Linked DNA regions of Oryctolagus cuniculus. The protein of the gene in region 2 interacts with the protein of the main gene of each other region in a biochemical or structural test. Links are inferred from orthologs where the notes say so. Each region holds a gene or a part of one and is shown on either strand. Other genes may lie near its edges. The genes, in order: GRB2, INPP5D, CD244 and SHC1.

Region 1 (4,227 bases), on a different chromosome or scaffold from region 2:
GCACCACAGGCGGCAGCTTTACCCACTATGTCACTGCGTGAGCCCCCAGGCTACCATTATGGGGTGCCTCATGGAGCTCTGCCAGCTTGTTTTCAAAAAACCCCCAGTGATTCTTACGCACACGAAATGTAAGAATCACTGCTATACTGTAAGGGTGCCTTAACCCTTACAGAAGATGCGTTCCAAACAATGCACAGGTCTTCGCATAAAATGAAAGCGATACACATGCACTTGGCACAACCAGGAAAAGCCAACCTTGACAAAGTTGAAAACCAGACTCTTGGTGCCCGCTCTGTGTCGGTGGGGAGTCCTCTGAATCAAGCAGATGACCACAGCGGCTGCCTGTGTCACCTCCGCTCTCCAGTCTACCACTCTCGGGTTCTGCGGAGCAGGCAGGGCTGCAGCTGCACAACAGGGACACAGCGACAGGAATCGCTCAGGGAATGCCGGGAGTCCCACAAACAAGTCGTGTTGGAAACCCGGCGGTTCTCTCAAATCCAAGTGACTCGTGGGAAAGTAAACTGACACAAGCACATAAATGCTTGTGTTTGAGACGGGTGCTGTGGGGTAGCGGGTAAAGCCGCCGCCTGCAGTGCCGGCATCCCATGTGGGCGCCGGTTCGAGTCCTGACTGCTCCACTTCTGATCCAGCTCTCAGCTATGGCCTGGGAAAGCAGAAGAAGATGGCCCAAGTCCTTGGGCCCCTGCACCCACATGGGAGACCTGGAGGAAGCTCCTGGCTCTGGATCAGCCCAGCTCCAGTCATTGCAGCCATTTGGGGAGTGACCAGAGGGTCGAAGATTGATCTCTCTCCTCTCTCTCTCTCTCTCTCTCACTTTTTTTTTTTTTTTTGACAGGCAGAGTGGACAGTGAGAGAGAGAGACAGAGAGAAAGGTCTTCCTTTGCCGTTGGTTCACCCTCCAATGGCTGCCGCGGCCGGCGCGCTGCGGCCGGCGCACCGCGCTGATCCGATGGCAGGAGCCAGGAGCCAGGTGCTTTTCCTGGTCTCCCATGGGGTGCAGGGCCCAAGCACCTGGGCCATCCTCCACTGCACTCCCTGGCCACAGCAGAGGGCTGGCCTGGAAGAGGGGCAACCGGGACAGAATCCGGCGCCCCAACCGGGACTAGAACCCGGTGTGCCGGCGCCGCTAGGCGGAGGATTAGCCTAGTGAGCCGCGGCGCCGGCATCTCTCTCTCACTCTCACTCTACCTCTGCCTTTCAAATAAATAAATAAATCCTTAAAAAAAAAAAAAAAAGCTTGTGTATACCACTTCCCCTTCCTCCCTCCAAAAAAAAAAAAATTGATTATGAGAATTAACTTTTTAAAATTTTATCTTGGGATCAGAAAACTTTTGAGCTAGGGGCACATAAAGGTATTTCTTTTCTGGGCAAAAACAACAATGAAGGCCGATTACAACAGATGAAGAAAAGAGCCCCAATCTTAAAAAGAAGTCCGATAAAGAATCAGCGCTATGAAAACGGGCAGGCTTTAACTCACCAGCGGCATAATTTCTATCCGCTTAAACCTCCCAGGCTACCTTAGTTCTATCTTAATAGGGGTCTATGGTTGATTCTCGCTTGTTAACACTCACCACCCCGGCTAAACACCAAAAAGATGGCTTATGAGCCCCCGAGTGACCCAACACGGGGAGGACAGCCGAGGCAAGCGTGGTCCTTAAAGGCGGAAAAACCGAAAACGTCAATCACACGAGCAAGCCGCGCCTGACCCAGGGGCAGTATCGATTACTTACGGATGCGCCTGGCGGTTCCCAGGGGGAGAATGGAAGCCCCCACGGCTCTGGCCGGAGGACCACAGGGCGCGCTCAGAGCACGGGAACGGAGCAGCAGGGAAGGGGGGCATTCCCGGGGAAGAATCGGCGTCCCCCCCAAAGGGCAGAAACCTCACAAAATTATGCCAGCGAAGAGGAAGGGGAAGTAGATGAGGGTGGGGGCAGGGGCCAGCGATCGCACTGCCCGGGCAGCGCAGAGAAGCCCAGGGAGAGGGGAGGCCGTAGCCGACGCAAGCCCAAGTCGCAGGGGCCGAGAAAGGCCAAGGAGCCCCTCGCCGGCTTCGCGCGCCCTGGAAGTGAACGGCGCCGCGCCCGCGCCCGCGGGTCCCCGTCCCAGACCAGCCGAGCCCGGGCACGGCCGTCCGCGGGACCCTGCCCGGAGCACGCCAACCCGCCGCCGCGGCTCCCTCCGGACCAGATACCTGTTCCCCGGGCGGGCGGGCGAAGCGCCGGGCTCCGGCAGCGCACGCCCCAACCCACGCAGGGTTCCCGCACAAAATCCGGCCCCAGACGCCGGGAGCTGGCGACGCGGTTGCCGTGCGGGTCGAAGGAGCATCCGGCACCGCACCGGCACCGCACCCCGCGCCCTGCGTGCCCGTCCGCCGCGGGGCCGCACACGACGCGGGCAGGCACCGGATTTCACCAGAGAGCCCCAGGCTCTGCCCGGGTCCCGGGGCCGGAGGAGGACCGTCCCCAGGAAGGAAGCGCCCCACACGGGCAGACGGGCGCTCCCTCGCCCCGGCGCCCCGAGGGCCGTCGGCGGGCCGGGCCCGGTGCCCCCGCCGAGGAGCGGCAGGAAGAGGCACGGGCCCGCGCCGAGCGCCGCCGGCCGCACTCACCGTGGCGCAGCTGTCCGGCCCCGCGCCCGGCCCGCCCGTCCGCAGCGCCGCGAGCGGCCGCCGACCTCGCTGCTGCCCCCGGAGCGCAGCGCCCGCTCCCGCGCCGCCGCCGCCGCCGCCGCCCGGTCTCCGAAGCAGCAGAGCCGCCTCGCTTCCGCTCCTCGTCCCGGTCCCGCGAGAACTTCCCCACGCCGCCCCGCCCCGCCGCGCCCCGCCCCGCCCCCGCGAGACTTCCCCCGGCGGAAAAGGCCCAGAGCGCAAGCGCCCGGCGTCTCTCAGGTAGACCCTCTGGAGGCCAGGGCGCATGCGCAAGGCGGCCCCCAGCAGGTGGCCCCGGCGTGGCTCCGCCCCTGCGCCGTTGTAACCCTCTCGGTGCCAGAGCGGGTGGCTGACAGCTCAGCCCTAAGGAATGACATTTTACAAGCTCTGATCACTGTCCCTTCCCCTTCCACCAAGTCAAGGCAATGACGGAGCAGGGGAGAGCTTCTTCCGGCATGAAGCACTCCAAATGGAGGACCAGACCTTGAAATCTTTGCGAACCCACTCCACACTGCAGTATTAGATAAATTAGTGGATTCCTTCCCTCTTTCAAAAATTCATGGGAAATGAGTACTGTGGAAAACACAGTCCACACGCATTCAGATTTTTTGCACCCAAAATATTTTTAAAAATATGCAATTTAAATGAATTATTTGTATCTATTTTTATTTATTTGAAAGGCAGATAGACTGAGGCAGATTCTCCATCTGTTGGTTCATTCCTGCAACAACTGGAGCTGGGCCAGGCAGAAGCCAGGACCCTGGAATTCAGTCCACGTGGGTGGCAGGGACCAAGTTCTTGAACGAGCACCTGCTGCCTCCCAGTGTACACATTAGCAGGAATCTGAACTCTGGAATCGGGAGTGAAGCCAGAACTCAAACCCAAGCATTCAAGTATCTGGAATGCGGGTGTCTCAAAGGGGTTATTTTTAAAATTTATTTGAAAGGCAGAGTAACAGGCAGAGAGAGAGAGAAAATCTCCCACTGGCTGGTTCGCTCCCCAGATGACCACAACGGCCAGAGCTGTACCAATCTGAAGCCAGGAACCAGGGGCTTATTCCAGGTCTCCCACGTGGGTGCAGGGGCCCACAGACTTGGGCCATCCTCCACTGCTTCTCCAGGCCACAGCAGAGAGCTGGATCAGAAGTGGAGCAGCCGGGACTTGAACCAGTGCCCATAAGGGATGCCGGCACAGCAGGTGGTGGCTTTACCCGCTACACCACAGTGCCGACCCCTCAAAAAGGAATCTTCACCACTGCCCCAAATGCCTGCCCCTTAGTTGTCTTTTAATTCCATCCTTTCACACATTTCGAAGCGCCCTCCTATCACCGAGTAATGTGCTGGGTATAGAAATCCTGGCCATCAGGGGAGGCAGATGAGAAGCAAACACTAGGACGGGTAGAGTTATTTGGGAAAGGCCAAGGACGGTAAAAAGATAAGGGAGGAACTGCTACTCTGCCCGCTGCAGACAAGACTCTGCTGAGTCTGGGGCGAGGAGGAGTTCGCAGGCGGAGAAGCCAAAGCTGGGGCAAATCCGGCAGAGAACGGCACGGAAGAGCC
Region 2 (7,544 bases):
GCTGCTGGGGCTTCGTGGAAGGGACTGACTGAGCCTCCGAGGGAAATGGCTGCCCCGGCCTAGCTCCGTGTGCCCACGTGTTTCCAGGGCCGTCTGTCCTGAGCCCCCGTCCCTGCAGCGCCAGCCCCTGGGGACACTCCTCACCCAGGTGGGCAGCTCCACACGGTAGTTGAGATCCCCAAGCCAGAAGAGGTGGGTGAAGCGGTGGGTGATGTTAAAGGGACTCAGCTTCTTGTCTCCCAGGGCCAGGAACCGGAGAATGTTCATGTAGTTTTGGTTTCGCCTAAATCAAGGGAAAAGCAGTCTCTAGCTCCGGCTCATTGGTTCCTCACCCATCTGTCAGGAAGGCAGGGGGCTGGGGGAGGTCAGACTTTGACCTTTAGCCCTGCCCCTACAGCTGACCCCACAGTGCACCTGTGACCCCTGCCCACACGGCTGACCCCACAGTGCACCTGTGACCCCTGCCCGTACAGCTGACCCCACAGTGCACCTGTGACCCCTGCCCCTACAGCTGACCCCACAGTGCACCTCTGACCCCTGCCCCTACAGCTGACCCCACAGCATGCCCATGACTCCTGCAGCAGGCAGGTGGGTCAGGGCTGGGCTACAAAGGGTCTGAGTCCAAACTGGGGAGGCCGAGGGCAGGGCCAGGAGCCGTGGGATCTGCCTGCTGGGAGTGTTCTGGGTGGCTGTCTTCACACAATTGTGGCCCGGCCCCCGTAGGCAGAAGGGACTTTGATCCACACTGATATTTCAGGAGAGCTCTTGCCCTTTAGAAGGGGGTGGCGTCTAGGTTGCGGGTGACACGCAGGAGGTGACACACAGGAGGCCCTGCTGTGCCGCGGATCCCTTTACTGAGACCACAGCGGGGACGCAAAAACCAACAGTACCTGCAGAGGGAGGAGCGGGTGGTTTCAGCATTGAGGGCTGTGGGGTCTGTCCTGGCAAATCACCCAAATACAGGCTCTGTGTGTGTGTGTGGGGGGAGGGGATGGGCTCCGTTACCTGAGCTTCTTCTCACTTCCGGAAGTCAAGTGGCTGTTGACGAACCCCAGGGAAGTCCCGTTGAACATGAATGACACCCCCACGGCTCCTTTATTCCCTAGAGGGAGGGAAAGGCAAGACCCACAGCATCACAGGGGGTGCACGCGAGTGGCAACGTCGCGCGCACCCCGTACGTGTGTACCACTGTTGGGGTCCACTGACAAGAGAGCCCCTGCACCATCGGACTAAGGAAGGGGCGTGCGATCCGAGCAGTGCTGGCTTCTTCTAAGAGGGATGTGCTGGGGGCTGGAAGGCAGCAGGAGCAGCCACGCTTACTGGGAAAAAAATCAATCAAAGAAGAATTCTTTGCTTCACATTAAAATATGAGATTTGGGGCCGGCACTGTGGCGTAGCAGGTGAAGCCGCTGCCTGCAGTGCCGGCATCCCATGGGGCGCTGGTTCAAGTCCCGCTGCTCCACTTCCAATCCAGCTCTCTACCATGGCTGGGAAAGCACTGGAAGATGGCCCAAGTTCTTGGGCCCCTGCACCCCCATGGGAACCTGGAGGAAGTTCTTGGCTTCAAATCAGCGCAGCTCTGGCCATTGCAGCCAACTGGGGAGTGAACCAGCAGATGGGAGACTTCTCTCTCTCTCTCTGCCTCTCCTTCTCTTTCTGTGTAACGCTCTTTCAAATAAATAAATAAATCTTAAAATAAAATATGAGATTCAAGTTTTGGGGTTCCCGTGTCATATTTATTGGGACACAGACACCCCTGCTTATCCAAACATTGCCCTGGCTGCTTTTCAGGCCACAGAGAATGGGAGTTGAGTGTTTGCATCAGAGACCACCTGGCCTGCACAACCTCAAATAGTCACCCTCTGGCCCTTCACCGACAAAACTTGCCAACCCTGCTGGGTGATAGCGACCCGTGCCGGAGAGTGCCCAGTACGGCAGGCACAGCCTTGTGCGGCCACCGAGCGTGGGACACGGGGCTAGTCTGAAGCTGGTACCAGAAGCCCCGGTAAGAAAACAGACTAAGATGTCTCATATTTTGTCCTACCGCATACCCACAGAAACAACATCTGGGATGTGTGAGTTCTGATGGAATCTATCGCTGAAATGAATCTCACTGCTTTCCGTTTACTTACTATGGGGCTCTGGCTCTGCCCATCGGATGTCCACTGGACAGCTCTGGATAGACGGGAACCTGAGGGACCTTGGAGGTCGCCCAGCCCCGCCTCCTCAGGACCCAGAGTGGGGATCAGTAGCCTGGGCAGATGTCAGGTGATGTGGCTCAGACACAGAACTAGGACGAGCACCCGGCTTCCTGCCTTGGGCCCTGGCCCCGGCGCCCTCCAGAGATTTCCCCCTTCTAGCTCAGGGGTCCTGACAATGTGGGTTTGAACCCCTGCCCAGGCCAGGTACAGATCCCTCCATGGCCTCAATTTCTTCATCTGTGAGTGGGGAGAACAGCCTGTGCCCTCCACCGCAGGGCTGCATGAAATCAGATCACCCCGGCCGCCGTGTGTGTCGGGTACCCCGCAAGGGCCTTAGCTGTGTGGGGCCGACGTCCTGCCAGCCGACCAGCCAGCGTTCACTCACTGAGCTCCCTGGGAGCCTCTGGGAGAGTGGAGGAGGAAGACAGGCCCTCGGGGAGAAGAGAGGGAGAGAGGAGGCAGGAGGCTGTGACCTCCGCGTCTCCGAGACTCAGCCCTGTCCCTCGCCTTCCCTGGTGCCCCTCTCCCCTCCACCACGCCCTTCTCTGCCAGCTCACTCTCAGAGCCATCTTTGCACCTGCTGGCTCACTCGCTGTCTGTTGAGTTCATGTGAGCGGGATGCCTACTGCTTGGGGACTACCCTGTACCCAGCCTGGAGCCTGGCACCCGGCTGCGTGGGGATTCCTGGGCATCTGTGCAGTGTTGGTAACGAGCTCTGCGAGGTTTTAGCAAATTGTACAGCAGGCTGGTGGGGGAGGCAGGAAACCCGGGGGGATGGAGTCGGGACAAGGGAGGCTCCTGGGCAGGGAGGGCAAGGCTCAGGCCAGAGTGGCCATGCAGGCCCTGTGCAGCCGGCAGGAAGGGAGGAGGACGGTGGGCGTGGATGTGGGCAGTTCGCGGTTTGTCACTTTTCACATCTGACAGCAGCGATCCTTCTATTTCCTGTTATCTCAGGACCGTCCTGTCCCAGACTCCAACCGCCGGAAACCGAAGTCCCCGCCCTCAGCTTCACCTGTGGCCCCGTGACAGTGCACCCACACCCACATGCACTCAGACGCTCACACGCATGTGTGCGCTCAGATACATCCATGCACACCCCTACACATACACACTCATGCACACAGGAGACACGCCAGACACACACTTGCATGCGCTCACATCACATCCACATCATCTGCACACTTGGACCCTCACCCATGTGCTTGGGCACACACTTGCACACTCATTCCCCCCTGCACACACGCCCAGAGTGCTCTCAGACACTCACAGGCACACTTGGACACTCGTGCACATGCCCACACGTGTGTACTCGGAAACTCATATGCAAAGGCTCGTATACACAGATTCATATAAACTCACATAACGACGCACACACACTCACATGATAGACTGATACACAGATTCATAGACCCAGGGTGGCACATTCACACATGGACACACAACCACAAACACATGTGCACACACACACACACTTGGACACACCTACGCACACACTCACATACTGACCTACAGACTCACATTAACGTGCACTCCTCCAAACAGGCTTGCTCACTCATCCCCACCCACACATTTACACAAGCACATGCGTGTAGACACACTCCCACACTTGCACACACACTCACATACAGGTGCGCACACTCCTGCAGTCTCCCTGCCGCTCCTCTCTCAGTTCTCTGAAGCTCACTGCTCCCTCGACCTTGACCCTGACTCTGACACCAGTGCTTCCCGCTGCAACCTGAAGAGGCCTGGGGCCTGGGGCCTGCAGCCTGCGTCTGAGACTCACGTGCCCCTGGGACACAGCCCCACCCTCACTTTCTGTGCCGCTGATGCTTCCCGCCAGCTGCACGTGGCCCACGAGGCCCTGGATAGTTACTTAGGGGCCCTTTCTGGCAGACGTCCCTGCACCCCTCTTCTAGGTTCTTGCTCCTCAGCGTGGCGCCCTGCACCTGCTTGTAGCCCCAGTGCCTCCTGGGAGCTCCACCCGAGACCTGCTGAGTCAGAACCCGCATTTCAGCCAGATCCCCAGAGCACTGGTGCAGACCCTGAGTGTGCCGAGGACCTTCAGAGACGCCCTGCGTCGCCCCGAGCGTTATCCCAGCTGCCGGGATGAAGTAGACCCCGAGCTGGGCCCCTCTGCGCTTACCCAGCGTGTTTGCGATGCCCGTCTTCACGTTGTCCGTGCAGATGTGGCTGATGCGGTTCTCATGCTCCGGCTTGGCCAGCACCACGATGCGGATGTTCCAGAGGGTGTGGATGGCGACCTGGTGGGGTGCACAGTGCTGCACTGGACGGCCAGGGTGTGGTGTCTGAACCCAGAGCACAGCCCCAGCCCAGCCCCTCGATGCCAGCACGGAGGCAGAGCATCCTAACGACGGGGACTGGGGTCCGAGTCCCCTGCAAGCCAGGCGGTGGGGAGGTGGAGTTTGCAGGAATGGCCTACGAGCCCCATTGAGTTCTGAATACAGTGATCTCTCTGGACCCAGAAGTGGGGGGACCACTGGGCTGCCAGACACCTTTAGAAGTGGAGAGCTGACAGCCTGAGGCTGCCCTGGCCTCCGAGAGCCCTCCCCCGGAGCCCCCCGGCCCGGCCCGGCCCGGCCCGGCCCGCAGGCTGGGGGCAGCTGCTCACTGTTTTAAAGGTCATGCTGGTGATTTCTTGCAGGGAGTGCCTGAGTATCTCCAGCCACTCCTTCTCCCCCAGGGGGTCCTCCTGGGTGCCGATCACGTAGATGTCGTGGGGGATGTAGTCGGCGGTGTCGTCCCGCGTCTTTCCCTGCCCCTTGGAGAGAAACCAGGACGTGATCTTCTTGGGAGGGGGTGCGTTACCTTCAACAGCAAAACCCGACACCAAGTGAGTCAGAGGCACATCCAGGGGCATCCACAACAGACAGCAGGCAAAGCACAAACCCCTCAAGCAAGCGCAGTGACAGGGAGAGCTCAGTGCCCGCAGCCCCCGGGAGGTGACTCCCACTAAGCAGACACTGTCCTACGCTTAGGGACCACAGAGCAATGGAGGCTCCCTCCTGTCCCTCAGCGGACACACACTCTATTGGGAAGGAGGCAGGTGAGCCGAGAAGCTCAGGATGGAGAGAGCAGCGGCTTCCTTGCTGGCAAAAGAAGGGCTCCCCACGGAGGGCGGAGGATGTGTAGGCGCCAGCCAGGGAGAAGGGAAGAGCGTGCAAATCCCTCTCCATTCCTGTTTAGAAGAATGGGCAAGAGCGGCTCAGGCCAGGGATGAAGGGAGGTCCACCCCTCCTTGCAAGGGCCCTGACCTCTCTCCAAAGAGATCAGCTTGGCTCGCAGGTGCTAAGAAGCCAGGAAGTGCAGTTGCCTTGACCATGGCTGAGTTCTACTCCCCAGTGAACCCACAGTGGGAGTCTGAGCTCCTTGAGGCCCCGCCCACATGTCGCAGCTCCTCCCTCACGCCTTCTGCGGGTGGGGCGCCCCCTGCTGTTGTGCAACGGGATGGCCCTGACTATGTCAAAAGAACTCACGGCTCACAGTGGAAACATGGGAAACACGTGCACCTGTGTGCAAGCACCCACAAGCGAGAGAGCTGAGGAAATCAGGGGCCAATAAGAGATGCGGGAAAGGACAGAAGGGGACATGGGCACTGGCCAGGGCTCTGTTTCAGTGCTGTTGCAGGCCCTGGGCCACCCTGGACGTGGCCGGGCTGAGGGAGGCTGGCGCCTTGTGCATCCAGGACCAGGAGCCTGCACAGGACGCTGAGCCCAAGTCCCAGGCCGCCTCCTCCCATTCTCTCCACCAGCTATGTCAGGGTCGGGAAGCGCCTGACTCTGCTTGGGACAATGGGGAGTTTTTAGACAAAGTATGTCCCATGTTGTCCACCTAAAATAACACAATGAACAGCACTCAGTGAGGTTTTCTTTTCTTTTCAATTATTTTAGATATATTCCAAGTAGTAGAATTGCTAGATCATGTGATAATTGTGCTCTTTTGTTGTTGTTTTGTTTTTAAATTTTATTTATTTATTTGAAAGGTAGAATTACAGAGAGGGAGAGAGAGAAGGAAAGAGATCTTCCATCCACTGGTTCACTCCCCAAAAGGCTGCAACAACCAGGTTGGGCCAGGCTGAAGCCAGGAGCCAGGAGCTTCTTCCAGGTCTCCCACGTGGGTGCAGGGACAAGGACTTGGGCTGTCTTCCACTGTTTTCCCAAGAGCTTTATCAGGGAACTGGATTGGAAGTGGATCAGCCAGGACTCTAACGGGTGCCCATATGGGATGCCGGCATCACAGGCGGTGGCTTTACCTGCTATGCAACAGTGCCGGTCCCGAGATTTTCAAAGGAATATTTATTTCAGAATTTCTATTGCAATGCTCTGGTATTCCCAAATACATTTTATTCTTTAGGGAGTCTCCTCTCTCTCCCCTTCTCCCTCTCTCCATCTCTCCCTCTCCCTCTCTCCCTCTCTCCCTCTCCCTGTGAAAAATTATGAGGCTATAGATTTTACAGTTTTTTATCTATGTATCTGAGAGACAGTGAGAGAGAGGGCGGGGGAGTCCTCAGCTGTGATTCCCTGCCCAGACGTCTGCGCCAGCTGGGAGAGGATGAGACTCGACCCAAGTCCCACAGGACTGGCAGGGACTCGGGGACCCGAGCCCTCACCCTGGCTCCCCAGGGTCCGCATTGGCGGAAGTGCGGGTTAGGAGCCAGAGGCGGGTGTGACCCCAGGCTCTCTGGGGGTGTCTCAGCCAAGGCTAAGAGCTGCCCGTGAGGGCACAGCACGCCGGGGCTGTCGAGACAGACTTCAGTGCTAGGTTTTTGTTCCGAGCTAGAGTGACTGCATCACTCAGACAGGAGATGAAGACAAGCGAGGCTGTGGCGTGACTGTCGCAGACAGCGTCTCGGGGAGGCGGAAGCTATCCGCTCTCTCCCTCCCTCCACAACTCTCTCAAATAAATAAACTCTTAAAAAAAAAAAAAGAAAAGCCTAGTTTATAGGTTTCTCAAAATCAAGCAATGATACACGAATATAAAGCAGAATTTAATTCTCTATGTTTAATTGACGTTTTTAAATAGTGATTAGTTTTTAATGAAGATGTACAGGCCCTGGCCTGGGGAGCAAAGATGACTGTGTTCCGTTATCGCAGCTTCTTGTGCTTTCTAGTGTCTCTACTGGGTTTTGGTTACTTAGCAAGGACCAAATCATAAAAGGGGCTTTGTTTTTGTTTGTTGAGATCTATTTGCTTTTGAAGCCTTCTCAAGGCTCATCTTGCAATTCGGGTTAAATCTGATTAAACCACTCTATTTAAATGAATGACCACATCTTCACAATGATGTGTGACCTTATTATTTTTTTAATTGTGCATTTTAAAATTTATT
Region 3 (8,025 bases), on a different chromosome or scaffold from region 2:
TGAGCGCCATAGAGAAAAGTTGAGTGGAGAGAGAGCCAAAGGGTAGCAGCCTCTTGTGTTGTTACTCCTGCCTGAAATGCATGTGACCTGAACCATATGAGGGAACAGCAAACCAAGAGTGAGGATCTTGCTGTGAAACTCTTCAGAACCACTCATGTCACAAAAGACAAAGGAAGGTAGAGGAGTGGTTACAGATGGACTATGGGGCCGGCGTGCGGCTCACTAGGCTAATCCTCTGCCTTGCGGCGCCGGCACACCGGGTTCTAGTCCCAGTCAGGGCACCGGATTCTGTCCCAGTTGCCCCTCTTCCAGGCCAGGATGGCCCAAGTATTTGGGCCCTGCACCCCATGGGAGACCAGGATAAGTACCTGGCTCCTGCCATCAGCAGTGCGGTGCGCCAGCCGCAGCACGCCGGCCGCGCCGGCCATTGGAGGGTGAACCAACGGCAAAAGGAAGACCTTTCTCTCTGTCTCTCTCTCTCTCTCACTGTCCACTCTGCCTGTCAAAAAAAAAAAAAAAAAAAAAAAAAACAGATGGACTATGACAGAGCGGGTATAGCAACCAAATGCCATACATGAGCCTGATTAGGACCTGGGTCAGGGGAAAAGATACCAGAACGTACATTACGGGGAAAGCTGGTCACCAGTGACTGCATGTTTGATAGTATCAGTGTTAGACTTATAACTTTGGCAATTGTACTGCAGTTATGAGAGAGAGTCCTGGCTTGTAGGACACACGGGCTAAGATATTTAGAAGTAAGGAAGCCATGGTACCTGCAACTTCTAAAATGGTTCAGCAAAAATTATTATTATTATACATTTATACACACATGTATGGGGAGAAAAATAAATGTATGTTTATATGAACGTTTATAGAGGGAAAAATTACTGCAAATGTGACAAACTGTCACTAACAGGTGGAGTGGGCATTTTGCACAATGGTTGTGATGCCACTTGGGATGCTCACATAGGAGGCTGTGGTTTCAAATCCTGCCTCTGTTTTCAGTCCAGCCTCCTGCTAATGTGCATTCCGGGAGGCAGCCGGTGATGGCCCAAGTATGCCACCTATCAGGGACATTTGAGTTCAGGCTCCTGGCTTCCACCTGGAACAGCCCAAGCTATCGTGGGCATTTGTTTAATGAACCAGTGAATAGAAAATATTCTCTCTCTCTCTCTCTCTCTCTCTCTCTCTCCCTCTCCCTTTCCCTTTCCCTCTCCCTCTCTTCTTCCATTACGTCTTCCCTTTTCAAATAAAATTAAAATTAAAAAAAAATTTTAATGCTTAAATGGGAGGAGCGCAGGGGTACCCACCCTGGTCAAAGTGCGGCTGCAAAAGCGCAGGGAGACAGCGGCTGCGGTGGGGCAGGGAAGCTGAGAGAGGCACGCGGGCAGCTCCAGGGCGCGGGCGGGCTGGTGAGAGCCGTGCAATGCTTGCACCGCACCCATGACCCAGTGCCCATGGCCAGCAAAGTGCCTCCCCAGAAGGAGCTCGGCGCGCAGCAGCACTCAGAGCTGCCAGAAGTGCTTTTCCACTTCCTCGCGAGCCTAAAGAGGCGGGAAAGTTTCCTGCTCTGCCCTCTAAACTTGCCACCTCCAATCAGATCAGCCTGGGCCCACTCCGAAGCTTCGAGAAAAGCCACCTCCTCTGTCCCCATGGTGGCTTGAAGAGTCTCACAGCAAAGCTGGTCTGGGCAGATTTGCACACCGGGGTCTTAGGCGAAAGCCGCTTTCTTTTCTGAAAAGTGGAAGCAGCGTAAGTCCGCCCTTGCTCCATGCGCCACAGGTCAAGACTCTCGCTATGACCAACTTACAGCTACGGAGTGGAAGTTTGGCGTGACATCTGGGAACAGCGAATTGGAGAAAGTGGGAAGTATTTTTTGACAAAGTTGGTGGTTAAGAAAGAAAATCATATTGAAAGTTTGTATGTAGGATTAAATTCTCCTCCTGCATGTTCTACAGCTTCCTGCATGAGATGGAGCAAGGCGAAGCCAGCGTGGAGCATTTCAGCTGATTTCTGTCCCTGTGCCCCCTCGTCGCTACCCTGGGTGACTGCTCTGAGAGGCAACCCTCCCCCCACCCCCGAAGGTCTGCTGGCTGCTTGGGAGTCCAGGTCCAAAAAGCTTGTGAAAACCAACAGGATGTAGTCCTGAAAGAGCCCTATAGATGACCTTATAAAGACGTTAAGAGAACAGCCACCTCCCATATCCCCAGGACACAGCCAGATGGTCTCAAGGCTGTCACATCCAGATTCAGGGGCGCAAATCAACTGCTACCTCACCTAGCAAAGTCCAGAGAAAAGGAATGGTCCCATGTCTCAAGATAACACAATGATCACCCCCCCAAAAAGCAAGTGCTCCTTTATGGCTAAGGAACAAGCAAGCTGTGTGAGTGCCATGTGTGCAGGTTTCATGGCCACTGTATGTCTAGTAGTGGTGCCTTGCCAGTCAGATTGTTTTTATAGTCTGAAAATTGTTTATTAATTTTAAGGATATATGTACCCACAGAAACACACCATGAAAATAGTCTGATCCTGCAGTCTCTGACATTTTCACCATCTCCTAAAGCCCTAGCAGGATGTAGATGGGAAGCTCCACCCATCAAGCTGCCATTTGTTGAATAGCAACCTTCCTACAAGCTTAATACCTACAGTGGCTTCTCTCATGTATTTGTCCAGTTGGTTTTTAATGCATCAGGTCAGTGAGCCACCTGTGTATAGATAAGTGACCCAGTCTCTGAAAAGAACTGAGACGAAACCCTGCCCCCACTTCCGGTGTTGTCCTATTGTGTTGTAATAAGACAGGACTTTCAAGACTATTTTAACTTGTGTCAGTTCAGGCCGGCCACGTTTATGAAAAAGGTTCTGAAGAAAAAGAGAATTTTAAATGGTAATTGTTGAATAAACATAAGCGAAGGAAACACAAGGTTCCTTTGCACTATTCTTTCAGCTTCTCAGGAACTTTGCAATCCAGTCCAACTATGAAGTTTACAAATGAAAGCAAGCAGAGCAACTCCAGGTGCTCACATTAGGCCAGCTCCACAGACACGGAATATGGAAGGAGGAGAGGAGAGCTGACGACATGTGCCCTGTTCCCTCACTCCAGGAATCACTTACGGTTGCACTGTGCTACAGATCTGCCACCACCATGCAGAGACGGTGTTGTACCCCTGGACATGGTGGGGAAGAAGGACATGCCATGCCCCTATCACACAGCCTCGTCCCTTCTGTCACTCTTGCCCCTGAACCCCCAAACTCATCAGTCCTCTCTCAACTGACTGAGGTGCTTTTTAAGCTCCTTAGACCAAATCCCAACCAGGGCTGTTGAGTCCCACTTGCCCACCCACGGAGCCCTGGGGCTCCAAGCATCCCTCCCTGCTCATGGTTCTTCACCATGCTATTCCCAAAGCTGTCTGTATTCCTCACAAATGCTGAATCCACACAAGCTTAGACTATGTCTTCCTGGAGGATGTGAGTCCTCAGGGGCTCATGATGAACCGGGACCTGGGGCTGGGACTTTAATGCACAAGTTTCTGGACAAACACCATCCTCCGTCTCACTTTCCCCCTCTGTACCCACCCAGCCCTGCCCTTGTACCTGAGCCGCTCACCTGAAACATAAGATCAAAACTTCAGAATACCTTGGACTCCAGAGTTGGAAAAATATGGGAGCATCCTTGGACTGGATCCCCTGAGGATGCCCTGGAAGACTGCATGCCCTATTGACAGCCTTAGTTTTGCTGTGTAGCTTTCTAATACTGTGCTCTCCTACTTCCACTCCAAGCCAACATTTCCCTAATAATTCTCGGGCTCCTACAACCCCTGGGTTACAGGAAGAGCTGAGGAGCCAAAGCACTGGGCATTTGGGTATAACCCCTATCCTGGCCAGTGGCTTTGCCCCAGCACCCCTGCCCTCTTCCCACTCAGCCTTCCTGCCCAGTGGTCTACCTGCCTGTCTCTGGGCTCCAGAACCTTCCAGCTTCCTTGGGGCTGCTTTGCCACTCTCATCCCACAATTAGAGGGTGAGATTTCCTTTGTTGTTCTTACAGCAACTGGGAGGAGGTCTCCTCCCCACTTCTCAGAAGGGGAGATTGAAGACAGTGAAAAGCGATTGCTTCAGCCAAGACTGCCTGGATTGCTAATGGCAAGGGCACAGGCCATTCTCAGTTCCCCGATCCACTGTCAGAACCCACAGGAGCTGACAGCATCCCAGCTCCAGGTGACCCTACAGGTGGTCTGATGGGAGGCTCTGGGTTCTGATCTCACTGAGCTGTGGAACCCGTGGTCCATGCCAGCCCCCTCCCCCACACCAGGCTGGGGCTCTTACCTTGGCCCTGGTGCTGTTTGAAGAGCAGGAGGAAGGTCAGGGTGAGGGTGAGGACAGAGGGGTCGGGTGGCCCCAACATTCTCAAAGGATAGAGGAGTCAGGTAGCTCCTCTCCCCTGCCAGACACCCTGCTGTACACAGGCTCAACAGTCACCAGGCAGTAGCAAGGCTGTGGTAGCAAAGCGTGTCACTGCCTGTCCAGCCACAGTTTCCTCAATTTGAAGCTGCTAACATTTGCTGCAAGCTGGCAAGGTCTCTGAGAAAGCCCCAGTCCCTGGACCTGGTCTGACAGTTCCCATAGCTGATGCAAAGTTTGCATCAAGTGGGCGGGTCCTTGGGGCTCACTCTGACCCACAAAACCAGCTTCAGAATCTGATCCCTCCTGCGCTGGAGCCTAGCTGCTTCCTTCAAAGGGCAGATGCCTAAGACATTTTCCAATTCTCTCCATCCTACTAGCAATATAGAGAGACAACATGAGGAGCACACAGCCATTTTCCCACACTGGGGAGAAGGGTTGGGAGGGTTTGACTGAGAGCCAGAACCCTGTGTAGGACATAGGAAGAGAACAAAGAACTAGGAATATTTTTTTAAGATTTATTTATTTATTTGAAAGTCAGAGTTACAGAGAGGCAGAGGCAGAGAGAGAGAGAGAGAGAGAGAGAGAGAGAGAGATCTTCCATCTGTGACTGGTTCACTCCCCCAGATGACTGCAACAACAGCCGGATCTGGGCTACTCCAAGGCCAGGAGCCAGGAGTTTCTTCCCGGTCTCCCACGCAGATGCAGGGGGGCAAGGACTTGGATCATTTTCTACTGCTTTCCCAGGCCGTATAAGAGAGTTGGATTGGAGCAGCTGGGACTTGAACTGGCGCTCATATGTGGTACTATACCACAACACGAGCCCCAGAACTGGGGGTATTAGAAAAATCTAACAGGCCTGGGATTCTGTGCAAGTTGAACACCCAAGTTTTAGTACATTCAAGTTCATGTTTTTTATAAGAATTTACTTTTGCTCCAAGCTTTCTATCTGTACTGGGGGGGGGGGTATCTTCAAAATTCATGGAAAAATGCACACAATGAAAGATTATTCATGATTTATGAATTTTTGCACAAGTATGAGGTCCTTCATACTTCCATATGCTATGCTTTTTTGTACCTTCCTGGCGGTAGTTCTCTCTTCCCTTTCTGGACTTCACCCAGAAAGCATGTGCTGTCATTTCTGCTCCCGTCCCTCTGCACACGTGGAGTCCACCCTCCTGAAAGGTCAGGCAGCTCTGGACCCCTGAGGTCTCCATGAGGGGCAGGGGCAGTGACATCCCACTCCCTTTTGCTTCAAGCGCAGGGTTACTGCCTTCATACCCTAGGGTTCGTGCCTATTTCTTTCACTTTCCTCTTAGCAGCAACTATTTCAGTTCTCTTCAAGTCCACCATTCTTCTCTTTTCCCATTCTTTTATTCATTTACAATGAGCCTGTTGGAAGCAGCACAGAGGTGAGAGGCTGTAGGCCTTGGCAGTGGGGCTCTGGACAGAGCTTTGGATTTGGAGTCAAAGACCTGGGCTCGAGCTGCTGTTCAGCTGTGTAATGCTGGCCAAGGTAACTTTCTGCTCTGCAGGATCATCAATAGTTGACTTCCCTTCTTCAAGAGGTAGGTTTCAGGATCAAATGAGCAATTATTCCTGAGCCCATGTGTATAAAACTCTGTCACTATAAAACTCAAGTTGACATTGAGTCACAATTATTAGGAAGTGAGGTCTTCAGAGAAGTTACTAGTTCATGACAGCAGAGCCTTCATGGGTAGAATGATTGTCTTTATTTCAGAAAAGTCCCAGAGAGCTTGCTCATCTCTTCCACTGTGTGAAGACACAGCTGGAATTAAACACTTTGCAACCCAGCAAAGAACTCTCATCAGACCTTGACTGCCCTGGCACTCTGACCTCAGACTTCCCAGCCTACAGAACTGTGAGAAGTGAGTTTATGTAGTTCATGAGCTGCCCATTTTGTTAGAGCTATCCAATGGAGTAAGGTATCCGATATAGATAAGGTTTTGTTTATTTAGCTTTTTGAAGCTGGTCTAATGGTTATCATCTCTTCTATCATTTGTCTTCTCCGAAAGGGAAGCCCTCATCCCCAGGGAATATCCTCAGAGTTTCTCTGACAATGCTCTTGACCTTGGGAGGTTGTGCTCAAAGTATGATACAAAAAGAAAGGGTAAACTTCCTCACCTGGCAGATGGAAGAGACTATCCAAATAGCACAAATTAAGAATCTGCTTCACAATCCTAAGCTGGGAGCAGGTGTACCACTTTTGTGTCTCTGCCTTGTGGTCTTTAACAAACTCTACCACTTAATAACTGCCCTTTGTTCCCACACTGCTCTGCCTAATCGTGAGCTCTACAACATAAAGTCGTGCTCCCCTTAGTTTGGGGTTCCCAGAGCCTGGTTCCGGGCCTGTTCCTTCACAGTTGCTTAATATATTGTTGAGTGCTGAAAGAATGAGTGAGTTCCCTAGAAACGGCATTTGCATTTCCCTGAGTCACCAAGGTCCCTGCACTCCTCTCTGCCTCTCCTTCTCTCTGTGTGTAATTCTGACTTTCAAATAAATAAGTAAATATTTAAAAAAAATAATCAAGGGAAGAGGTAGACATGGCAGGATCCAGGGGATTTCCAAACAAAAGGATCATGCACAAAATTCCAGTTATCCTATTCCAACAGAGTTATACAGACAGCTCTTACTCCTCCCAGAAAAGGTATATAACAATATACATGGAGTATTGACAACTAGGGAAGCTCTCCCAAGCTTTGGTGTCCAGAATTTTGACTGGCATTTGGCTAACCACCCCACGGCTGACCTTAGTCTCTGGTTCCTTCTGATGCTATACAAACCAAATCTCCTACTATAATTCAGATTGTTACCATAGACTCTCTGGAATGGCTCAATGTCCCTGGTAAATGAAGACTTTCTAATGAGGCAACATACTCCAAAGCTTATGGATTACTTCCCAGGAGCCAAGGGCCAAGGCCAGATTTCTCTACAGGCAAAATTAACCCTTTTACTGTACACCTGAAAAGAAGAAACTATAAAAGTAGTCAAAGATGAATCCTTCAAAAAGGGCCTGATTGGTTTGACAAGTATGTTAAGCAATCTTTTAAGAATTCTAATACTAGATGCAAATGAAAAATTATTGTCTTTCTAATCATCTGAGTATTGTCAGTGTACTTCTTTGAATGAAAGCAGGTAAAAACAATTCTTTTTCTGTTTCTCTTTCTCAAAAGGGCTAAAAAACTACTCACTCTTGGGTTTTCATTCCCCAGAAGAGAATAAGCCTGTTTTAGGAGTCACTGTGCACTTACTCCTCATGTAGGATCTCTGTCCTTAACGTGCTGTACACTGAGGCTTAATGCTATAACGAGTACTCAAACAGTATATTTCACTTTGTGTTTCTATGGGGGTGCAAACGACTGAAATCTTTACTTAATGTACACTAAACTGATCTTCTGTAAAAAAAAAAAAAAAAAAAAAGAAAGAAAGAAATTATCAATTCCCAACTTGACTCTCACTGGGATTAAACATGACAATAGGTCTGATCTGATTTCATCATCATTTAAAAAAAATCATCTATTATTTTTCACTTTATGTTTTTGTGTGGGAGCAAACTGTTGAAATACTTACTTAAGGTATACTAAGCTGATCTTCTGTATATTAAGATA
Region 4 (6,346 bases), on a different chromosome or scaffold from region 2:
TCAGGAACCCACCCAAGCTGGTCACCCCCCATGACAGGTGAGCACGGTGGGGTGTGGGCCAGCTGTTGGGCCCCAGACCCAGATTGGGAATGCAGGTCTACTCTTCCCACGCCAGAGCTCGGGGAGGTTCAGGGAAAGAAATAACCTGTGTGCCCTGCTTCCTACTTCCTGCGATTCTTGGGTTTCCGGTGGCCATTAGGCCGCCTGCTGCAGGGCCAGCTCTTCCTCTCGCTTGCCTGTGGTGGGGCTGTATTTCAGGGCCTCCAAACTGCATTTCTTTCTCTGGCTGAATGAGCTTTTCTCTTCCCAGCCGCCACCTCATTACTAGCCTCGCCCTCTTTCTTGCCTATTTCTCTTTCATTTTCTGTGTTTTCCTATTTCTAGAAGCCACCAGGCTCGTGGATCTTGGAGGAAGGCTGTTTGTCCTGAGACCCCTTCCTTTCCCACTGTAGGCTTTAAGGAATGAGCAGTGGGCCAGTAGGGATGGTGTATTTGGAAGTTCAAGTCCTCCGGCACATGCCCTCCCCACTATTTCGTGCTTCCCCTTCCTCTCAGGAAATAGCCTGGTGGTCAAGGGCATGAGCTGTAAAGTCAAAGCTGAGTTTAAATCTTGCCTATAGCACCTTTTAGTTGGGAGATCTTGGATAAATCTTTTCACCTCTCACCTTAATTTTCCTCCTCTATAAAACTAGGGAGGGAAACCAGGAGGGTGAAATGACTGTACCTGGGAAACACCCAGCCTCAGGCCTGCGGACTGAAGGCTCGCTGTGTGTGTGATGTGCTGTGGGGTTCCCCTCGCCCTGCCCGGCTCTCCTGCGTACTCACACTCCTGTGCCTTCCTGTCCCTCCCAGAATGGCCGGCTTTGATGGATCAGCTTGGGATGAGGAGGAGGAAGAGCTACCCGACCATCAGTACTATAATGACTTCCCGGGGAAGGAACCCCCTTTGGGGGGCGTGGTGGACATGAGGCTCCGGGAAGGAGCTGCCCCAGGGACTGTTCGACCTGCTCCACCCAGTGCGCAGACCCCCAGCCACTTGGGAGCTACCCTGGTAAGTTGCTAGGATGGAGGTGGGCTGGGCCCAGGCTGGTTAGGACTGCTGGTCTCACCTTCCTTTATCCCTGCAGCCCGTAGGGCAGCCTGTGGGAGGAGACCCGGAAGTCCGCAAACAGATGCCACCTCAACCACCTTGCCCGGGTATGAAGGGAGGCAGAGAGAGAGGGAGCGAGTGAGCTGAGGAGGGAAGAGCCGGGGGTGCAGCAGGCAGGGCCAGGAGCACCACGGAGCATCCTTTTCCGCAGCAGGCAGAGAGCTCTTTGATGATCCCTCCTACGTCAACGTCCAAAACCTAGACAAGGCCCGGCAGGCAGGGGGAGGGGCTGGGCCCCCCAACGCGACCGCCAATGGCAGCGCACCCCGGGACCTCTTTGACATGAGTGAGTACTCCTCTCTCCTTTCTGCTTCGTCCCCGCCTTCCCACCTGGTTCCGTCTCTTCTGCCTTTCTGCTCTTTCATTCCTGGCCTCCCTTCCCTGAAGGTCTCCGTCCCGGGAGTGTGTTGTGCCAGCTGCTGCTCCTTGCTCTCTCTGTAACCCCCCAGAGCCCTTTGAAGATGCGCTTCGGGTACCTGCACCTCCCCAGTCGGTGTCCATGGCTGAGCAGCTCCAAAGGGAGCCCTGGTTCCATGGGAAGCTGAGCCGGCGGGAGGCTGAGGCGCTGCTGCAGCTCAACGGGGACTTCCTGGTGCGGGAGAGCACGACCACACCTGGCCAGTACGTGCTCACCGGCCTGCAGAGCGGGCAGCCCAAGCACCTGCTCCTGGTGGACCCCGAGGGTGTGGTGAGTGACAGAGGTGTGGACGTGGGTGGTCGGAAGTACCCTCTGGTGCAGTCGCAGCTGTCGGCCCCGCCCTCCAGCGCCCTCAGCGCTGTGCCTGAGCTGTGTTCATTACAGCCCTGGCCGGTACTCCAATCCCCAAACCTTAAGCCCCTCAGAGCCAGACGGTGCTCGTCTATTCTGTGTCCCTCCTTTGACAGATGAGGAAACCCCCGGGGAGAGGTTGTGATAGCCAGTGGTGAGGAGCCACACACGTGCAGGAGGAGCCGGGGGCCTCCCCAGGTCCCCAGACCAGTGTCCTTTCTCTTAACACTCAGTGTCTCACTGCTCCTCAAAACTTCCATTTCTCTTCTGTACAATTTCAGCCTCCTTCCCACTTTTTTTTTTTTTTTTTTTTTTTTGCACAGTGAGATACGCCAACCCTGTCCAAATCAAGAAAGGCTTCATGCTTTCTGGACTGAGGTCCCCTTGCCTTTCTGTAGTTCCTTCACCTGCCCACTCTCACAGCTGTCTCCAGCTTCTCTTTCCAGGGAAGCCTCAACCAGCCATCACCCCCCACCCCCAGCCCCACCCCCGTCTTTTTCTCTTTGCTCAGCCTTCTCGACTGTTTCATTTTCTTCAAGACTTAAGGGCCGCCGAGGTCTTGGCTCCTCACCTGAATTGACCCCCCTTCCTTCTCACTTTCCCAGGTTCGGACAAAGGATCACCGCTTTGAGAGTGTCAGCCACCTCATCAGCTACCACATGGACAATCACTTGCCCATCATCTCTGCGGGCAGCGAACTGTGTCTCCAGCAACCTGTGGAGCGGAAACTGTGATCCGTCCCCGCGTCCCCGAGCTCTCACAGAAGACGCCCCTGCCTCCCCTTCCACCCTGTTCCCTGCTCTCAGGACTTCACTCAACGAGTGTTCTGTGGGCTTGGCCTTGGGTCAGAGCTGGGAGGAGGGTGGACACTGGGTTTTGCATTCAGCTGAGGGAGAGGGTTTGAGTCAGGAGCCTGGGGTAGAATCCTGCTTCTCCCCAAACCTCACCAAAGTATTAATGTACAGAGTGGCCCCCCCATACCTGTGCCAACCTGATGCCCCCTTCCCCAGGAAGGTGGGCACTCGAGATGGAAACGTCCCCTGGTGATAGGCCCAGTGGAGCAGTCACCCTTCTGGGGAAAGGGGAACAAATCACACCTCGGGTCTACCCCTGGGCTTCAGGGAGTCACAGACCACTCTCAGCCTTCCCCCCAGCGTTTAACTTTGTGCCTTTGACCATCTCCTAGGTCTGACGATATTTAATGCAAAGAAGTTTTCGGGCCCCTGAGTTAAGGACAGGGGTGCTGACGCCGTCTTGGCTCCCAGGACCCTGTCCTCCTTGCTCAGCAGCCTCTCCAGTTTGGGTTGGGAGAACAGAAGCAGTAGTGGCAGCTGTCCCCTCTCCCTGGGGAGGTGCAACCCTTAGAGATTGCCCCAGAGCCCCCCTCCCGGCCAGGGGGGAGATGGACCCCCTCCCTTGCTCAGTGCCTCCTGGCCGGGACCCCTCTCCCCAAGGGGTCTGTATATACATTTCATACGCCCCGCCCCTCCCATGTTGCATGCATGTTATACTCTACAGCCAAAGTGTAGCTCTTCCTCCTGTATCCCGGCTCTGCCTCTCCCTTCCCAGGGTGTGAACTGGAGCCTCCTGTACAGTTCACTCTCCCAGGAGGGTTCTGTGGAGGCGGGAACAAGGGCACTGAGACTCGAAAGCATTAGACAATCCCAAATACCATCTGTCGATTTGGAACCGCGCTCATTTTTACTTTGTATGCACATATTTTATGGCTGTAGGTTTACTTTCCTAATTTTGTTCTCCATGGCTTGTTCTTGAACACAAAATGATGATGATCAACTACATCCACACATCACCTCTTTGACTTTTCCAAGCCCTCTCACCACTATTGGCATTTTCCTCACCGGGCCTGCAAAGGAACTCGGACTGGCAGCATTATTATTATTTTTACAAAAGAGACCAGAGGCAGAAACGGATTTTGAGCCAGGACTAGAACTTGGACCTCTTACCGCAGGCTGGGAGGCAGGCGTTTGGCTGGCTGTGTCGATTTCACGAAGGGGGAACTTAAAGCCCACAGGTCCCCCAGTACCTTCTACACGCGGGGCCCTGTGCTAGGCCCACTGCAGCCACAACCACAGAAGAGGCCAGTCCTGCTCTTTAGGCCTGTGGGGAAGGGAAAGCTGACAATTTTAATCCTAGCCACCACCTCCTTTCGTGTGTTTGGATGTTTTCACGGGTCTCACTTATACCAAAGGGAAATAATCTTCATTAAAATCCGTATTTCTTCTACTTCGCCTTCTTAGCCACTCTTGCAAGCCCATTGTTCGCGCGGAGCCTCCGCGGCAGGAGGGGAGGCTCCAGGTCGCCGCTGGCCCCACCTGGCCTCACTTGGGGCCCGGCGCCGCCCGCTGGGCCCTGGGCGCCGGCCGACTTAGTGCCCGGTGGGCGTGGAGACCGATTGTCCCCGGGGGATGCGGCTGCGGAGGGGCCTGGTGCAGGCGGGGCGGGGCGGGGCAGGGTCCGAGGCCAGCCGGCGGCTGCCGGTGCCTCCTGGGCACGCGCCCCTCGGCCCGCAATGGTACGGTCCGGTCGCAGGGGCTGGCGGGCGGCGTCCCGCGGTGAGCTGGGGCCGGCCGCTCCCTAGAGGGCGACGGCTGTCTCCACTAGGGCCGCCCCGTGGTCCTCTCTCCCCTCTTCCTGCGTTTTGAGGCGCCGAGTCTCCCAGTCCTTGCTTCCCCTCCCCGCCGCGCTCGGTGGTGGCGGCCGAGCGGAGTTCCGGTTCCGGTCGCTGCTGCTGCCGCGGGCGGGCGGCGAGTCTGGAGCGGGCTCGCAGTTCGTGCTCCAGCTCGGCGCCTCCCCCTCGCCGCACCTTGGGGCTGCAGCAGCTCGGGGGCCTGTGCTGCCCCGACTCCCCTTCCGGGGGATGGTGCAGCCTGAGGGCGCCTCCATCCCCCGCCGCCGCTGATCCCCGGCCCCCACTCCATGGCCGCCTCGGCGCCGCCCCCACCGGACAAGCTGGAGGGAGGTGGCGGCCCCGCACCGCCCCCTGCGCCGCCCAGCACCGGGAGGAAGCAGGGCAAGGCCGGTGAGAGTGCTGAGACGGGGCGGGGGCTGGAGAGACCTGGGACTTGGGAACCTTGGAGGGGAGGGTGGGGTTGGTCCCAAAGGCTGAGAGCGGGGAGGGCTTGAAGGGACGCTCAGGTGAAAAGGATGGGTCGGTGTAGCGCTCCGGGGTTGGGGGCAGGTGTGACAGATTGAGGACTTTCAAGGGTGTGGAGCCACGTGGAATCCAGTCAGGTGGAGTCTGATAGTGTCAACAGATAGGGTGTCTGCTTTCGAGAAAGGCATAGCTGACAGTAGGGCCCCACTCAGGACACGTTTTTCATATGACACTCCTTTGTTAGTATTCGCGAAATAAATGTGTGTTGAAGTTGACCGAGTTCTTGGAGCAGGGCTGGGAGGAGGAGGTTGGAGAAACTCGTCTGCCTTTTGCTGCTCTTCCAGGTCTGCAAATGAAGAGCCCAGAAAAGAAACGCAGGAAGTCCAATACTCAGGTGAATGTTGGCTGGTGGTGGGCGTGATTGCCAGGAGCCCCTGGCGCTGTCCGCTCTGTATTGCGTCAGGTGCAGGGAGAAGGAAGGCGGTGGGTTCTGTTTCTGGTCCTCGCCCTCAACTTCCTAACAAACGTAGGGGATAATCCTTCCCCACGAGAGCCCCTTACCCAAGAGCTGGTCGGGCAGGGTTGCAGCCTTCTTTTTCCCCCATTTTTCCTGTCCTGGCTCCTTCAAGACAGCGTAGCAGGTAACCACCTAGCGAACCTTTTCTAAGTGCCAGACGTTGTGCCGAGGGGCCTGAATGGTTTGGGGGAGCTGGGCACTGTCCTTGTATCACGGAGAGCTTTGGGGTCAGAGCTGGGACTTCAGCGTGGTCCTCCCTGTTTTTCAAAGGCGTTCCTGACTGCGCTGTTCTGCCCTGCTCCCTCTGTTTCTATGTTGCATTCTGAGGTCCGTCTTGGTCTTGGCACTGGCTGGCCGGTGTCTGCCTCCAGAACGCTGCGGCGTCTGTGGTGTTCTGCCCACGTGTGTTTGGCTCCGTGTCAGGCCCCTGTGACCCTCTTTCCCTCATCTGTTCCTCCCTAGGGCCCTGCATACTCACATCTGACGGAGTTTGCGCCACCCCCAACTCCCATGGTGGATCACCTGGTTGCATCCAACCCTTTTGAGGATGACTTCGGGGCCCCTAAGGTGGGGGCCACAGCCCCTCCGTTCCTTGGCAGTCCTGTGCCCTTTGGAGGCTTCCGCGTACAGGGGGCCATGGCGGGCCAGGTACCCCCAGGCTACGGCACTGGAGGTGGAGGGGGTCCCCAGCCACTTCGGCGACAGCCTCCCCCTTTCCCTCCCAACCCTATGGGCCCTGCTTTCAACATGCCCCCCCAGGGCCCTGGTTACCCACCACCAGGCAACATGAACTTT

The links.
Region 1: the proteins of INPP5D (region 2) and GRB2 interact in a test that uses a peptide from one of them, tested with the Homo sapiens proteins (2 studies listed by BioGRID). The link is inferred for Oryctolagus cuniculus from reciprocal best matches to the Homo sapiens genes INPP5D and GRB2.
Region 3: the proteins of INPP5D (region 2) and CD244 interact in a biophysical measurement, tested with the Homo sapiens proteins (2 studies listed by IntAct). The link is inferred for Oryctolagus cuniculus from reciprocal best matches to the Homo sapiens genes INPP5D and CD244.
Region 4: the proteins of INPP5D (region 2) and SHC1 form a complex in vitro, tested with the Homo sapiens proteins (2 studies listed by BioGRID and IntAct, with this or other methods). The link is inferred for Oryctolagus cuniculus from reciprocal best matches to the Homo sapiens genes INPP5D and SHC1.

What each region holds. Positions count from the first base shown.
Region 1 is NC_091448.1:5,146,173-5,150,399, reverse strand, and holds the start of GRB2 (growth factor receptor-bound protein 2), read right to left. Parts: upstream 2,801-4,227; 5' UTR 2,630-2,800; intron 1-2,629. UniProt on the Homo sapiens protein: Non-enzymatic adapter protein that plays a pivotal role in precisely regulated signaling cascades from cell surface receptors to cellular responses, including signaling transduction and gene expression.
Region 2 is NC_091434.1:6,370,773-6,378,316, forward strand, and holds part of INPP5D (phosphatidylinositol 3,4,5-trisphosphate 5-phosphatase 1), read right to left. Parts: intron 5,028-7,544; coding exon 4,831-5,027; intron 4,463-4,830; coding exon 4,345-4,462; intron 1,103-4,344; coding exon 1,006-1,102; intron 284-1,005; coding exon 145-283; intron 1-144. UniProt on the Homo sapiens protein: Phosphatidylinositol (PtdIns) phosphatase that specifically hydrolyzes the 5-phosphate of phosphatidylinositol-3,4,5-trisphosphate (PtdIns(3,4,5)P3) to produce PtdIns(3,4)P2, thereby negatively regulating the PI3K (phosphoinositide 3-kinase) pathways.
Region 3 is NC_091438.1:38,066,276-38,074,300, reverse strand, and holds the start of CD244 (natural killer cell receptor 2B4), read right to left. Parts: upstream 4,607-8,025; 5' UTR 4,400-4,606; coding exon 4,321-4,399; intron 2,011-4,320; exon of another isoform or gene 1,278-2,010; intron 1-1,277. UniProt on the Homo sapiens protein: Heterophilic receptor of the signaling lymphocytic activation molecule (SLAM) family; its ligand is CD48.
Region 4 is NC_091438.1:43,543,330-43,549,675, forward strand, and holds the end of SHC1 (SHC-transforming protein 1), read left to right. Parts: coding exon 1-37; intron 38-852; coding exon 853-1,051; intron 1,052-1,127; coding exon 1,128-1,197; intron 1,198-1,301; coding exon 1,302-1,436; intron 1,437-1,599; coding exon 1,600-1,838; intron 1,839-2,524; coding exon 2,525-2,653; 3' UTR 2,654-4,163; downstream 4,164-6,346. Other genes in the region: PBXIP1 (pre-B-cell leukemia transcription factor-interacting protein 1), read left to right, coding at 4,857-4,959, 5,379-5,428, 6,014-6,118. UniProt on the Homo sapiens protein: Signaling adapter that couples activated growth factor receptors to signaling pathways. Participates in a signaling cascade initiated by activated KIT and KITLG/SCF.